4 linked regions of the Arabidopsis thaliana genome follow. The protein of the gene in region 4 interacts with the protein of the main gene of each other region in a pairwise test. Each region holds a gene or a part of one and is shown on either strand. Other genes may lie near its edges.

Evidence for each region.
Region 1: the proteins of AT5G01160 (region 4) and AT5G05120 interact in a two-hybrid assay, tested with the Arabidopsis thaliana proteins (one large-scale study listed by BioGRID).
Region 2: the proteins of AT5G01160 (region 4) and ERF10 interact in a two-hybrid assay, tested with the Arabidopsis thaliana proteins (one large-scale study listed by BioGRID).
Region 3: the proteins of AT5G01160 (region 4) and CIB1 interact in a two-hybrid assay, tested with the Arabidopsis thaliana proteins (one large-scale study listed by BioGRID).

What each region holds. Positions count from the first base shown.
Region 1 is NC_003076.8:1,509,577-1,512,404, forward strand, and holds AT5G05120 (C2H2 and C2HC zinc fingers superfamily protein), read left to right. Parts: upstream 1-1,655; coding exon 1,656-2,261; downstream 2,262-2,828. Other genes in the region: AT5G05113 (uncharacterized protein), read right to left, coding at 157-414; AT5G05130 (DNA/RNA helicase protein), read left to right, coding at 2,540-2,828.
Region 2 is NC_003070.9:956,565-960,167, forward strand, and holds ERF10 (ERF domain protein 10), read right to left. Parts: upstream 1,820-3,603; 5' UTR 1,435-1,819; coding exon 697-1,434; 3' UTR 540-696; downstream 1-539. Other genes in the region: AT1G03810 (Nucleic acid-binding, OB-fold-like protein), read left to right, coding at 2,195-2,444, 2,864-3,045; AT1G03820 (E6-like protein), read right to left, coding at 3,444-3,603.
Region 3 is NC_003075.7:16,496,378-16,500,676, reverse strand, and holds CIB1 (cryptochrome-interacting basic-helix-loop-helix 1), read right to left. Parts: upstream 2,287-4,299; 5' UTR 2,212-2,286; coding exon 1,909-2,211; intron 1,806-1,908; coding exon 1,545-1,805; intron 1,458-1,544; coding exon 1,323-1,457; intron 1,230-1,322; coding exon 1,158-1,229; intron 1,064-1,157; coding exon 893-1,063; intron 797-892; coding exon 731-796; 3' UTR 503-730; downstream 1-502. Other genes in the region: AT4G34540 (NmrA-like negative transcriptional regulator family protein), read right to left, coding at 1-171. UniProt on the Arabidopsis thaliana protein: Transcription factor that binds DNA to G box 5'-CACGTG-3' and, to a lower extent, to E-box 5'-CANNTG-3' in vitro. Binds to chromatin DNA of the FT gene and promotes its expression, and thus triggers flowering in response to blue light.
Region 4 is NC_003076.8:52,190-56,597, forward strand, and holds AT5G01160 (RING/U-box superfamily protein), read left to right. Parts: upstream 1-1,666; 5' UTR 1,667-2,007; exon of another isoform or gene 2,008-2,085; 5' UTR 2,086-2,090; coding exon 2,091-2,345; intron 2,346-2,467; coding exon 2,468-2,526; intron 2,527-2,769; coding exon 2,770-3,538; 3' UTR 3,539-3,863; downstream 3,864-4,408. Other genes in the region: AT5G01150 (hypothetical protein (DUF674)), read left to right, coding at 1-434, 519-1,250, 1,323-1,460. UniProt on the Arabidopsis thaliana protein: Probable E3 ubiquitin-protein ligase which is a subunit of the N6-methyltransferase complex, a multiprotein complex that mediates N6-methyladenosine (m6A) methylation at the 5'-[AG]GAC-3' consensus sites of some mRNAs.

The sequences.
Region 1 (2,828 bases), 1.5 Mb from region 4:
AATCTGAAAGCCGTGGTTAAGTTATTCATTAAGACAATCCATCAAAGAAACCATGAGTTTCAGTTGCGAAAGTGTGTTGGACAGCCTCAGGTACCAGTTGCGATTTACGAAATGTGTTGAAAGTGTGTTATAGTCCCCTTTTTCCTTCTCAGGTAGCTAATAACCAATCAATATCTTTGCTTTTGAAGGAAAGACAGGTCGTCGCACCATCCAATCTACGTGCTTCAGATCTTCTCTGGTGACGGATTCGTGCTCCTTCTCAATCCTCATCAACTTGTTTAACGTGTGCGCTATTCCCTCCGGCTCAGTGAGAGATTGCAGTTTCTCGAACATGCATGATTCTCTTCTTCTCCATCCTCCTATTTTCCACTTTTGTCTTCGCAAGTACATCAACCCTGATCGATGTCGGAGCATACTCCGTTGTACAGACCCTTTTCAAGAGATGGCTACTAGAACCAATGATACGGCGGAAGTTCATCGTCAATCCAAGCTCTCAAAGTTCACTAACCCTAATTATAATACATATAGCTTTCTTCTTATCTCCAATTAATGTGCTATTTATAAAAATGTTTACAAAGTTTATAAACCTTGATTACATAGATGTTCAATATCATAAGTTTAATCCAATCTGTATATTTTAATGCTGAAAAGATAGCTAAGAAACTATATAGATTTTAATTTGGTATGTTAGAGTTGAATATCTTGTTTAAACCTTGACTATACATAGATGTTCATTATCTTAAGTTTAATCCAATCTGTCATACTAAGCCATGTATATCACAAGAAAGTCTGAAAATGTGCTATATGTCATAGTAAAATTATTAAGTTAATGCTTTTTTGATGTGAGAATCAGCATTATAGATTTGATGGTAAAATGCTTCCATCAGTTTCTCTACTCTTATTAAAAGGTAGCCAAATTTAGTTTAATTACTTACTTTTAATATATATTTTCATTATGTTGATATGAAAATAATTTTATTTTTATTACCTCCAAAGTGATGTATATGAAAATAAATAAAATTGCAAGCAATGGAAAACAATAGAAAACTTAAAGGTAAATATTTTATTTAAGAGTTGAGATAATTATGTACTAAAAGTTTACTACATAATGACACTAATTAAATCTTTAATTCTTGTTTTCTAAAGTTGACTACATTAAGATCTACTAATTAACTCTTTAAACTCTTCTAAATAATTTTGTTTTCAACTATATCTCAAATTTAATAGGGCAAAACCAAAATCTCCCTACTCACTTTGGAAATCAGTAATGTTTGGAACTAATTTTGACTAAATATGCTAAATGCAACAAGTATTAATTCAGAAACAAATTTACTACGCAAATTCGGCAAATGTAAAATGTCAAATATATATAGTAATTAAACATGTTATGTGTGAGTTGTCGAAATGATAAACTAGTTTGTTAAGTACTTCAGTTAGTCTTTGTTCTTCATCATGTTTCTCTATAACTAAGTCCCTTTCCATATTTCATCAATATGCATTTATCTTATTCAAACATCATAACATTACAACATATAACTTTCCTTGATATTAAAAGTGCATACAAAGTATTAAATCTTTAAATACCTATCCGGGTGCAATAACATATTCAAGCCATCAAACCTAATTTCTAAAAGCCCGATCCGATCGACAACGAAATGTTGTCCTCGGACTCGAATTACGCTAGTGATATTAGCGACGATGCCTCCGCCACCGGATCGATAGAGAATCCTATATACAAATGCAAGTATTGTCCTAGGAAGTTCGATAAAACACAAGCATTAGGTGGTCATCAAAATGCACACAGAAAGGAGAGAGAGGTCGAAAAACAACAAAAAGCATTTTTGGCGCATTTGAACCGACCAGAACCAGATCTTTACGCGTACTCGTATTCGTATCATCATTCATTTCCTAACCAATACGCACTCCCACCGGGATTTGAACAGCCTCAGTACAAAGTTGATAGATCATACAAGATGTCCATGGTCTACAACCAATATGTGGGATCCTCAAGCTCTAGCTTTGCAGGACTACAAAGTGACCCAAGTCAAGGAATGAACCAGGATTGGACCTTTACCGGGATCCCATTCCTACCCCAATCTCAACCTCAACCACTATCGTCACCAATATGTTTGGATCTTTGCCTTGGCATTGGTAGCTCCCAAACCCAACCACAACCTCAAGAACCAAATGATGCAACAGAAGAGATGGATGCTGAGAAAGAAAATGATGGTTCTTCCCTTTCTCTCTCACTCAAACTGTGAAATTGTAATCTTTCCCTTTTAAGTATTTCTTAAACTTTCATTCCTCACCTTTGTTTTCTTGCATAGTATTATCGGCTTGTGTCAAATCAGTACTTGTGCACTTGAACATTGTAATAAACTTGGTTGTTATTTGCATTTGAATTTCATATAATAATAAAAACTTGATATTGTTCTGACTTTGGGGTGTCAAATTCTATTTATAAGAATTTGAGATGCAAATCTCAATTTTAGTTACTTTATGATACCAATATAAAAAAAAAAACCACTCTTTCGAAAGGATGCGGGTTTTGAAATACTTTCGAGCTCCTTCTTCTCTCCGTCATCGTTCCTCTCCCATGGCTCAGTTTCTTCGACGCTTCTCTTCCTCTCCCATGGCGAACGAAGACGAATTCCAATCTCCGGTGGAACCATCACAGCAGCAATCTCAGGACTGTGTTTCGGAGTCTTATCTGATAGGGTTTGTTATCGCGAACATAGTAGGGTTAAAGTACTATTCCGGCCGAATCAACGGTCGAGAGATGGTGGGTCTGGTTCGAGAACCCTTGAACGTATATGACAATAATGCAA
Region 2 (3,603 bases), on a different chromosome or scaffold from region 4:
TTTTGTATATAAAAAGGTGCGACAAGTTCTCCAATTGTTCTTCTTTGGACACCACACGAAAGCTAGTAGCTTTCATATGAGGCATGTGTATGTCATCGACAGATGTACATATCGAGACGTGTTGACTACATAATATTATAATATATGAGCACATACATGCATGTATGGGATCTATGAACATATATACTCCTTTTGGTGGACTCTATACTCATTGCTATAAACAAAGTGATGAAACATACATATTTCTGTTTATCAAGAGAATCTTGATTTTGGATCAGTTTGTTACTGGGGTATTAAATACAATCATTGTCACAGATGTTTTTCTTTCTCTCATTTGATATTTACCTTTGCTCTTATAAGTTATAACTAATTCAAGGAGCTAGTGTATATCACCGTAAAAGAGAGCGCGTGAGTAAAAAAGGTAAGTAGTGAGATAAGTTGTATTCCACGTGTCACTGTGGACGGCGAAAAACACACGTGCGACCCACCTGACACCAATACTTCTTTATCCCCCACGTCAACACGAAATCCATTGGCTAGGTTATGATACGATAATAGTTCAATTACCTTTTTTTAATACATAAAAAAATGTTTGTTTTGTCCTCCAAAAGCACGAATCAACCAATAGAAGTACAGACAATCAGAAGAGCGACAAGATAACAAACTTATTCAAGGACAACAACATCAGATCAATCTTTAGGGACTTGCGTTGAGGTCAAGATCCGGTTCCATTCGCAGCTTACAATCCACGGCGGAGGAAGTCTCAGGCTCTTCCACGGCGGTTTGAGGACCAATAGTCAACCCCATATCAATGGACTCAAACTGGTCAGGACAAACTCGATCAAGCTCCTCTTTCAACGCAATAACTTCAGGCAGATCTAAGAAAAATCCAGCAACCGCTTCAGCCACCCCCGGAGATAACATGTCGTGACAATCCGATGGAAGTGTTCCATCACGCGCCGTTTCGGAAAGGGTGTTGTTCACCGGAGAAGCCAAAGCATTCCCATCGTCTCCAACGAGAGGGAGGTTGGCATTTCCATCACTCACCGTCTCGGAAAGGTTGTTGTTCACCGGCGTCGCCGAAGAAATCCCATAGTATCCGATTAGAGGGAAGTTAGTAGTAGCTTTCGATCCTCGAAACCTTATGGCAGCGGAGTCGTAGGCTCTGGCGGCTTCCTCCCCCGTGTTGAAGGACCCGAGCCAGACCCGTTTTTTCTTTACCGGATCACGGATCTCCGCAGCATATCTCCCCCATGGTCTCCTCCTTACACCCCTGTAACGCACTTCCTTACTCTTTTCTCCGCCGTCATTCACGGCCAGGGCCTTAGTTACATTCTTTCTCTTCTTTACGCCCTTGTCACTCACTTCCTTACTCTTTTCTCCGCCGTCTTTCACGGCCACGGCCGTAGTGACATTCTCTTTTTCTGTGGTCATATTTTGGTTGGGGGAGAATAATTTAGATAAAGGACAAAACTATTGTTTTATAGAAGTGACGTAATCCCACAAAAGGACAAAGTGACAAAAATGTGGAAAGAAATGTCCACGTGGATTGACTGACGCGCCGCCTTAAAGAGAAAACAGTTTTATGACGCCTTTTTATGTTTTAACCTAAACGTCCCCGTTCTTGCGTCTCGCAGTTTTGCGCCATTTGTTGCTTGGGCTTTAACAGGTTATTATCTTTGGGCTTTTTCATATTTTATCTGAGAATCTGATAAACAAGTACTTAGAAATTATCCATGTCGAATATATACTTCGAGAAAGCTTGATGAATCTAAAATTGTATTCTTTGATACAAAAGTTATAATACATAAAAATTGAGTAGATGATACATTGCTACATTATAACAAAATTTGATGATTTATTATTACTCCACAATCTGCTTAGACTAATATTGGATGTCAAAAAAAGAAAATTCGACTAATATTAAGCATAATATGAAAATATAATGAGTTTAAGTTTCAAATTTTGAACGCGCCAATAAAATGTATACCGTTTTAAAAATCGCAAAAAATGAATTAGTGGTAATTTATAATCCAGTAATTTAGATAATAATCCAGAGTAAGATTTGTTTCTAATTTTCTCATTTAAATACCATTGTGAAGAATCTAAACCCTAATCTACCAGCGCGACTCTTCATCACGTCAAAGTTGTCAATTATTTTGAAAAACCCTAAGGAGATTCAAATTACGACACTATGTCGACGACGGCGAATACTAACGCGACGACTGCGCCGAAGCGTAAACCAGTGTTTGTGAAGGTGGATCAGCTCAAACCAGGAACCAGCGGCCATACTCTGATCGTCAAAGTCCTTGAATCGAATCCCGTTAAACCGGCGATTCGTAAAAGTTCGTTGACGCAGCAGCCAATTTCATCTCCTCGTATCGCTGAGTGCCTAATTGGTGACGATACTGGATGCATTCTTTTCACCGCTCGCAACGACCAAGGTAAGGATCTTAATTATTTACATATATAAGTTCTCTTGGTTAGGGTTTCGTAATCGTTTCTCTATCGTTTTCACTCGAAATTGCGTTCAATCTTTCCATAATTTCTCTGTTTCTAGGTTTATATATGCCTTGATTGGAATCTCTATGTTTGTGAAGATCTAAAACATTTATACTTCAGAGATTTTGATAAAGTTTAACTTTTTTTATAGATAATTTTGCTTATAGTTTAGTTTATTGATGAACAGAGTATATCTATTTATATATGTCTAAGCTTTGATTAGTGTTCAATATGTTCCACTTCATTAATCTCTAAGCTTTGATTAGTGTGTTTGTGTTTGACATTTATACAACTTCCTATTCAATATGTGAGAATATGTATGGTACTAATTAATGATGTTCTTTTGGGGTTGCAAATGCAGTTGATCTAATGAAGACTGGAGCAACAGTTATACTGAGGAATGCGAAGATCGACTTGTTCAAGGACACTATGAGAATGGCTGTTGACAGATGGGGACGCATTGAAATAACCGGTCCTGTTTCGTTCGAGGTTAACCGGGCCAACAATCTCTCTCTGGTCGAGTATGAAGTAATTACTGCTTAATGACTACAACCGGTGTCTGTCTCTACTTCTCTTCGTTATTATTTAATTTAAATTTTCAGAGAACTCTCTAGGTCACTGAGATTATATTCAGTTATGATTACTTTTGAGATTATGATGGTGTAGTTTTGGTCTTGCATAGTTCTCTTAAATTGGTATTATTGGTCTTTTGATTCTATTTTTAACACATACTCGTCGCTGGTATTAATCATGGTCATAAATTGAGATTAAGATAAACGTTAAAAAATTTTAGCATAAACATAATATAACTCACAGCTTTGATTTGTATAACTTAAAAGTGTTTTTACTTTCACTTTTCATAAAAGACAAGTAAATGGAGATTGCACAATATAATTAATTGCTCCAAAAAAGTGTTTTGTTTTCTCAAATACAATTTCCTTCTAAGGCTCATACTCTTCTTGACTACCCTCCAAGCTCTTGTAGTATTCCTCCATAGTTTCAAACTCGTTGGTATGATCATTTCCTCGAGCATTCTCATACCCGCGACTAGGGGTGTTTTCTGAATTCCTACCTCTTGTGTCGTAGAAATACTTACCGTTC
Region 3 (4,299 bases), on a different chromosome or scaffold from region 4:
GAGGGTAACGCCGGCGTCGGAGAGAGATTTCAGCTTATCGGAGAGAGTGGTGTTTCTGATGAGAGCGAAAGTCGGGTGACCCGATTCGATGCTGAAACGGGTCAAATAGTTCCCTAATCTTCCTGTTGCTCCGATGATCAAAACTCTGCTCTTCTTCTTCTCCTCCTCCATTTATATATACTCTCCGTATAGAGAATTAGGATAGTTTAGTTCCAATGGGTTGGTCATAGGTTTTAATCTCTGACTCAGTTCTCTTACATTGTCGTCGTTTTGTCCGCCACGCTTAACAGGTGTTGTTTATTCAATTGCTTTAAATTTGGGATTAGTCCCGCTTTTTCAAAGTAACCAAAACATAGATTAGAAGATTGTTAGTGATAAGATGTAAAACATAACGTTAAACGACTGGTGTCTTGTTTCTTGATTTCATGGTCGCATGACTTGTGGCATTGTATACTAAAAAAAAAAATACTAATGGATGATCATTCACCACAAGAAGATGAGAACACACCTTGAATTAAAGACACAAGTCCACCGATAAGAAATATATTACTGGACTGGTTTGCAAATTATACACAATAATGTCTACACTCTTTGATACATCAACTAATGGGCGGGGGATCTCAAGTCAATAATCTAGTGGAATTAGTAAATAACAGCTACTGGTTTGCTCTCTCTTCCGATGAATAATTTGAATTAGGGAACATTGTTATGTTGTGGATTGGTTTCTTAATCAAACTCCTAAATTGCCATAGAGATTCTGCACATGAGAGTCCCACATCGAAGGAGCTTCGCCATTCTGTAACAATCAAAACATATTTAGTAAAAAATTATCATATCCAAAGTTAAACTAAAGGATAGATCATAATGAAAGAGTATTAAAAATATGACTTACGTTGAAGCATGACAATGGATCAGAACTGGTATTCACTTGCTGCATTGGATTGACATGAAGGTAACCGGAGTTAACCATCTCACTAGAATAACCAGAGTGAACCATCTCATGAGAATAACCGGAAAGAACCATTTCAGGAGATGGCACCACAGTCATTGGAGTTGAGGCAACCTGGTTTTGAATCCACATGGCGTATTTTAGCTCATCTATAAATAGCCTTTAAAGTTTTGTTTTTCATATAAGCATAAACAAATCAATGACTAACCTCTTTGGCAAAAATGTCATCCATATCAAAATCCGGCCTTGGATTCACAATTGCTAGTTTCATCGATAAGAACTGTTTTAAACAATATTTTGATAACAAATTAGGAAGGTAATGCAAAATTAGTCTTTAAAACATATTTTCTATAAATGGAAATAATTTTCAGACCTCGATTTGTCTCTGAAGAGACTGAACATAGTTAATGATTTCATCAAGCATCCCTGCTTTGCCTGTGATCTTGTCGCATCCAGGAACCAAATCTTGTAGAAACTTCATTCTCTCACTGATCTTTTCTCTTCTAACCTTCACAAATTTAATACTTTAATAATTAGTCTCAATGATTACACAAAAAACAAAGTTAATGAATTTTAGTTAATGAGGCTCTCTTACTCGTTCTGCTATGCTGTGACTATCAGTGGCTTGGCCTCGTCGTGCACGAACATGAATATAATCCGTTTTCTCCAATTCCTTCGTCACTTTAGATGAATCATTAGAGAAATTGTTCTCTTCTTTCTTGGCTTTGTGTTTCATCTTCTTGATGCTTTTTGTGCTCCCATTGTTTTGCTCTGTTATTTTCGACTTCTCTTCTTCTCCTTCTTCTACTAGGTCATCTCTGTTCATCGTCATCTTCTTCTTCTTCTCATTACAATCCTAAAAGCACACACAGAAGAAACAGATAAGCCAAATCTCAAAGTAAGATCTGTTTTCTTTTTCATTTATAGAACTTAAACTTAAGTTTTCTTTACACACGAACCTTAGTCTCTGTATCAAACTTCCGTTTCTTGAAATTTCCAGTCCCAAGCGTCGTTTCCGGCGAAATTGAGAGTCTTGAATCACCTTCCACCGTCGTCTCACCGTACATCATCGGAAGATTCAAACCGGCAGTCGAAAGATAGCTGTCCATCTCGCCGCCGGTAATCATTGAAGAATCGGCAAAGAAGCCGGCGAGAGGAGAATCAAAGGTGGGATTGAGGTACTTGAGGTGAGCCCTTTGGCGCTCTAGGACCGACATGTCAGGAAAATTGAGCAAAAGGTCACCTCCTATAGCTCCATTCATCGTTATCGTCTTCTTTGGATTCAGAAAACAAGTTGCTTGCAACGAGAGAGAGAGAGAGTGGAGAAAGAAACAGAGTAAAGGTGAGGGTAGAAGAGGAAACGATATTTATAACAAAAACCATCAGCTCTGTACTTAGTCCATATTCATCGCATCTAATAAGGTAGGCCCATATACAAATCTGGAAACTTTATATGTTTTGTGATAATTGATATTTGCGATGATTGAAAATTGAGAAAATAACTAAAAATAGTGAGTGACACAGAAAACTTATAAAACATTTATTACGTAATATATGCATGTATTATAGTGTAAATTGGATCTTGATTCACTAAGAAAGGATAAGCTTGGGATGTCTATGCGAATTGGAGCGTCTCTTCTTTAGGTTTCTTTCATTATAGGAGCACGTGAATGGTCACGTGGGAATGGTCTAGTTGTAACACAATGAAAAATAATTTTGTAGTTTACAAGCTAGTTATGATTATATGAATCAGATTGGTGTGTGCGCTAGATATTTCACCTAATTAAAATGGGGTTACAAAGAAAACACTTTACCTCATTTCAATAGCTCTGGTCTTAGTTTAGCTACGAAGCACTGTTCACATGAATTTATTACATCCTTCGGAATCTTGTTATTCAGATCGATCATCATCATGTGTCTGATCGCCATGCTGTATACATTGGCTTACTCTATCGTGATAGGCTAATACTGAGACGGCGCAAGAGAGGCTGCCACGTGATCGCCATGCTCTTTTTCGATGCAGAAGGCCCATCACATGAATTACTCACAAGTTAGTTTTAGTCTTAGATCACTTTCACCGATTTCGGTGAGCAAATATTTCGAAGAAAAGGACCTTCCATTAAAGTATATATGACATTGTTTTAGATTCTCAAATATTTTCATTTATCCGACTTTTTATGTTATTGGAAAACGCTTTATGTGATTGATATAGGGACATGAAATCTTCTCGATTCTATAATGAAAACCCAACTCTCTTTTATTTTGCTTAGTCCAGTTATATATTAACCTTTAAAGCAGATACATGGAGTTAGTAGATAAGGAAAGGGGAGGGTGTAAAGTTGTTAGAAACAAAGACATGGTCGTTGCCTTTTGATGTGATGAATTTGGACTAAGTCCATAGAAGATGATGATCAGCTATTTCCCTCCCTATCATACTATACATGCATACACTAAAAAAAGTAAAGCCACACACCTAATTTGTGGGTTCCCCATCACCTTGTACATATATGTTCATAAATTCATGTCGACATGTATGTAGATGTTGACATTTGATTCGGTGTGTTGTATTGGAGATAGTTATATTATTTATACAAAAGTATTTAAATACATCTATCCAATTTCTTTCCTTAAACTGGAGAATTGATCTGTGCACGTATATTTATCTATGTTTAATTAAGTGTTGTTACTAACTTACTAAAAGATATCTATATCAATTTGTATATGGGAGAGTTCTTAATTAGAATTAGAAATTGCTGTAAAAAAAATTAGAATTAGAAACATATCATCGACGTAGAAATTTCTGATGGAACAATAATGAGGGGAGATCCAATGGTCATGACTCATGAATCATGATCACATGATGGGAGCCTAATTCCTATATGATGGGTTATTCTCGATATATGCATGGGAATTAGACGTATAAATAAGAGGACTTTTTTTTTTTTTTTTTTTTTGGGTTTTAAAATAAAGAAGAGTTGTGAATTTTATAAACTTTCATATAACTTGCATGTATTTTAAAGGTATACAACTTTCCTAAGAAGTCTTTTTCGTCAAAAGAAGAATTGTTTTTTTTTCTTAACATCCAAGAAGTATTTATATTTTTTATGGTTACTAGTTATTGTTATAAAAATGATTTAATGATAAATGAGTTATTGTTATATAAATGAAAAATGTATAAAAATTGTCTCTGACCCGTTGCTCCATAGTTAGTTTTTTCATTCTTTTGTATTCTACGGTTAGTTACTATAATTTCCTTAAAATAAAAGATTTCATGTTGTAAAAAGTAAGAAAAACGCATCTTTTGAAATAAACAGATATATAAGGTGAGTTTTAGCCAAAAAAAAGAATGA
Region 4 (4,408 bases):
TCTATAGAAGTGTTGTGGACATGGGCAGTGATTGTTTTGAGACTGAAGCTTGTAAGCAGATGCTTGTGTATCCGAAGAGTGTGAAAGACCTCCAGTGCAAAAGGCTTAAGCTCAACATAAACCCTACTGAGGACATCAAGTGTTTTAAGTGCTCAAGTTACTGCGGCTTGTACAGTAATTTCAGCACCTCTAAATGTCGTTGCGGAAAATTTATGAACGAGGAGATTCAGTTAGAAAACGAGGAACAAGATTTAGGCCGGTTTCAAGATGATGATAATGGAGTATTTGTCAGCGGTAGGTGTTCATTCGTCTTAACCGATGACTTGGAAGTGTCAGTCAAGTCCACTGAACTTGTCTTGAATAAGCTCAAATCCTTAGGTTGTGCTGATGTTGGTAAGCTCGGTGAAAGGCTTCTTGATATTGGTGTGAAAGAGGTATGTTAGTTAGTTTATTCTTCAAGCGTTTGTGTTATCATTACTTTATTAGTTCTCTCTTACTATATCTGAATCTTGGACTAGGTACTGACTCTGCTGGGATGTATATTCTCCTCAAATGCTCCCTTAAAGGACATTTTCTTGAACAAGAAGATTACACAAGGTGCGACGAAGTTTTACAAATCGCAAAGTCCATGTTTGGAGAAAAAAGAAGATGAAGCAGAACCTGAAAAGGTAGTAACTTTGAAAGCATTTGTGAGGAAGCAGGACATGAAGATTTTATTTGTTGAATGCGGAGAGGAATTTGTTGAGCTTCTTTTCTCTTTTATTGCTGTCCCGCTTGAATCTGCATGGGAAATCTCTGGCAGCAGTATCTCCTTAGGTTGCATAGGAAACATGTGTAGAACCTTCAGGGACTTAAATGAGGAGACTCAAATGTCAACTTCCACATGCGCACTTCCGTCTTTCTATAATTTCCAGATGCAACTGCCTGGTATTATCACTCAACAACCTCCGGTGTACTACCGTTACAGGCTCTACGATTACAGGCAAATGAACTATGGTTTGACTACAAACGGTAATCGAACTACTTATTACCGCAAAGACAGAATCGTTCGGGTGGATTTGAAGGATCCCAAATCCCGTGGCAGCGATAAGTCTGCTCAGGGGTTCTTGAAGAAAGCGACAAAGTGTACTGTATTAGATGATCTGACCATTACATCTATGAACTCCTGCTCCACAGTTTGTTTACTAAAGAAGTTGCAGAGTCACGCAGACGATCTAGAGGTGCAAGTAATTAGTATCAGCAATGCAGAGGTATGTTTCTGTATACCCTTTTTGATCCTGTATTCTTGAAAGGAACTTGACTGACACTTGATTTTGAATTAGGCTTTGGATTTGTTGAGAGCTTCCTTGGTGACATCCTCTGCTTTGAGCACGACATTATGGAATTTGATTGCTAAGAAACTGAAGGAGGAGACTGATTTATGGGACACGGTTTCAAAGAAAGTGAAGGAAGAGACTTGAAGAAATAGAAAGCTAGTGAGAATGAACTCTAAGTCGATTGTTGATTATGTTTTTAGAATTCCGCAAAATCTACATTACATTCCTCATGTTTTCTTCCAAGCCTTATCTTTCTTTGTAAGACTAATCAAATTATTGTTTTATGGAAATTCATCTTAATAGGGTTTTTTAAATGCAGGCAAAAACTTGCACATCTTTTTGAGTTTATAAAGCAACAAGCCTAAAATCTGGAATTTCCTAGTACGATAAGACTGAAATATACAACCATTACCAAAAAAAATGCATCCATATACAAAAGTTTATAATAAGATCCAGTTGGTATATAGTAATTGGGAATGTTGAAGACATATGAAGTGTTGATCAGAAAAAAATAAGACTTGAAGTTAATTAATGGAAACCCTCTTTCTCAGCCAGAAGACTTGAAGGCTTCTATTCTCCTCCGTTGCCCACAAAAACAAAATTTGCTTCGCCGTTTTCGGCTCCGGCGTGATTCTTGAGAAGAACTGAAGTAGAGAGAGAGATCTGAAATCTCAATCTCCGATTTAACTTGGTAACTAGAGAAGCTTTTGATTCCTATTCTTTCTTTTGATTTGTATTTCTTAGGGTTCCGTTCATGTAACTTTTACAGCGACAATGCTTCAAATTCGTCTTCGGAGGGATTCCCCGACGGAAACTGGAAATGGTGCGAGGCCTTCTCCGACGGAGACGGTTACTGTAGCCTGTCCCGACCATCTCGTCCTCGCCGATCTTCCTGTTGCGAAAGGAATCGGTTCCGTGACTCCCACCACCGTAATCAAGCCCGTCGGTCGTCGTTCTCGCCGTCAGCTAGGCGAGAGAGTTCACTTCTGCGTTCGTTGCGATTTTCCGATTGCAATCTATGGTCGTCTGGTAAAAAACTTCGCTTCCTTCATTGGTTTATGGCTATATTGATTTGCCTTAAAGAGTTTTTTTAAGGGGGCTCTTCTTCTATATGTGATTGAAACTTTTTTTGTTTTGTTTTGGTTTTGCAGATTCCTTGTGATCATGCCTTTTGCCTTGAATGTGCTCGCAGTGATTCCATCTGCTATCTGTAACCATCTTTAACTCTCATCGAATTTCATTAGAAGCTTTGATAGAGATACTTTAGATTGTTTGGTAATCTACAGAGACGCAGGATTATCATAGTTTGAACTAGGCTTCGAATTTCATTAGAAGCTTTGATAGAGATATTCTAGATTGTTTAGTAATCTACAGAGACATTTTAAGATTTACTAGGCGTAGCGATTATCAGACTGAAATCTTGTTGTCTCTTGTGTGTGTGATTACTGCACAGATGTGATGAGCGGATTCAGAAGATTCAAACAATCAAGATGATGGAAGGGATCTTCATCTGTGCAGCTCCTCATTGTCTTAGGTCTTTCCTGAAGAAACTTGACTTTGAAGCCCATGTCCATGACCTCCATGGAAGCCTATTACAAGCCGATGCAGAGAAAGAAGATGGTAACCAGTCAGATGTTCAGAGCACAATGCAGCAGTCTTCAGCTTCAGAATCCACCTTGCGAGCTCCTTTAAGATCCCAGCTGCAACAATCCCGTGAACTAAACAGGTCGGCGTCATTTGCAAAGTCACAGTCTGGATTTAGTCAAGTCCAGAATTACCCTCCAGATAGCGATAACTCTCGCCCTCCTGGATTCGAAACCGCTAGTCCTAAACCAGGAATCCGGTTCCCAGACTACCCCCAGCCTATGAATCTTATGCAACCGCCCAGCTTGCCCGTTCCAATGAATCAAAACCCGGGTTTACCACAGCAGTTTGGTTTTCCTTCGTATCCAACAACAGAGAGTGGATCATCTCAACAATTCTTTAACGGTGCTCAGTACGAGATGACAAGAACAGAGAGCGGCGGATCAGAACAAAGTTCATTGCTCGGGTATCCCCCGCCTTCACCAATGACGAATCTGAATTTCCAAGGATCGTATCCTCCTCCATCATGGAATCCCGGAATGGCACCGCCTCACACGACCCAGCAGGTTAACCGGGGTAGAGACGGTCAAAGTTTTGGGTGGCCACAAGAGAACCGTGATGGCTTTGGGCAGGAGTAAGAGTAGTCTAGTTTGAATTTGTGCAATGTTAAACTCGTCGTTTGAAAGTTTCAAGTACTTTTGTTTCTAAAAACTGTGTCGTTTGTTGTTGGTCTAACATGTAATTCGAGTAAACCCAATTTCAACCGAGCCAAAACCGTGCCAAAAATTCCATCGGAAAAACCAAACTGATTTGGGTTGAACCAAAGGTTTTACACCATTTTATAGGAACAACCATCGTAGATTGCACCCACTGTGTCACTGTGATAAAGAAAGAACTAAGATTGATATTTTGGTTTTTAGCTCTTTTTCTTTACTGTTTTGGGAGGATGATGATGATGGTTATTATATGAGTTGAGATTTTTTCTAAACACCGCCGATGATCTCACTAATCTTAGGCACAGCTATGCTTACAGACAATATTTCACAGTCTCTTTATTGGGATTCCTTCACTCTACATATGTATTCACTATTCAGCACCAAGTTCAAATTTCTGTAAGCATTTATTCTCTAGCATAAACACACACGAAAATATACTATTAGCTAGTTAAGTATAAAATTATCAAATAACTTATTCATATTTGTTAGTTTTAAACTAGAAATCATGTGAATTGAACTGAACCAGTTATTGATAAGTGTGTGGCTATGAGAAATTTCGTTTCAAATGGATTCTCCAATTATGAACCATAATGATACATAACAATATTTGCAAGACACCATTATTTCACATTATGAGAATAGAAGAAAACTGAGATCTAAGACACTTTTTCCCATGTTTTCTATGAATTATTACGATCCCCATATAAATTTTCAAAATGTAAAAGCTATAATCATTGTCGTAATTTTCATGATTAATCACACCAATCATTATGACCAACCAAAGAGAATGTA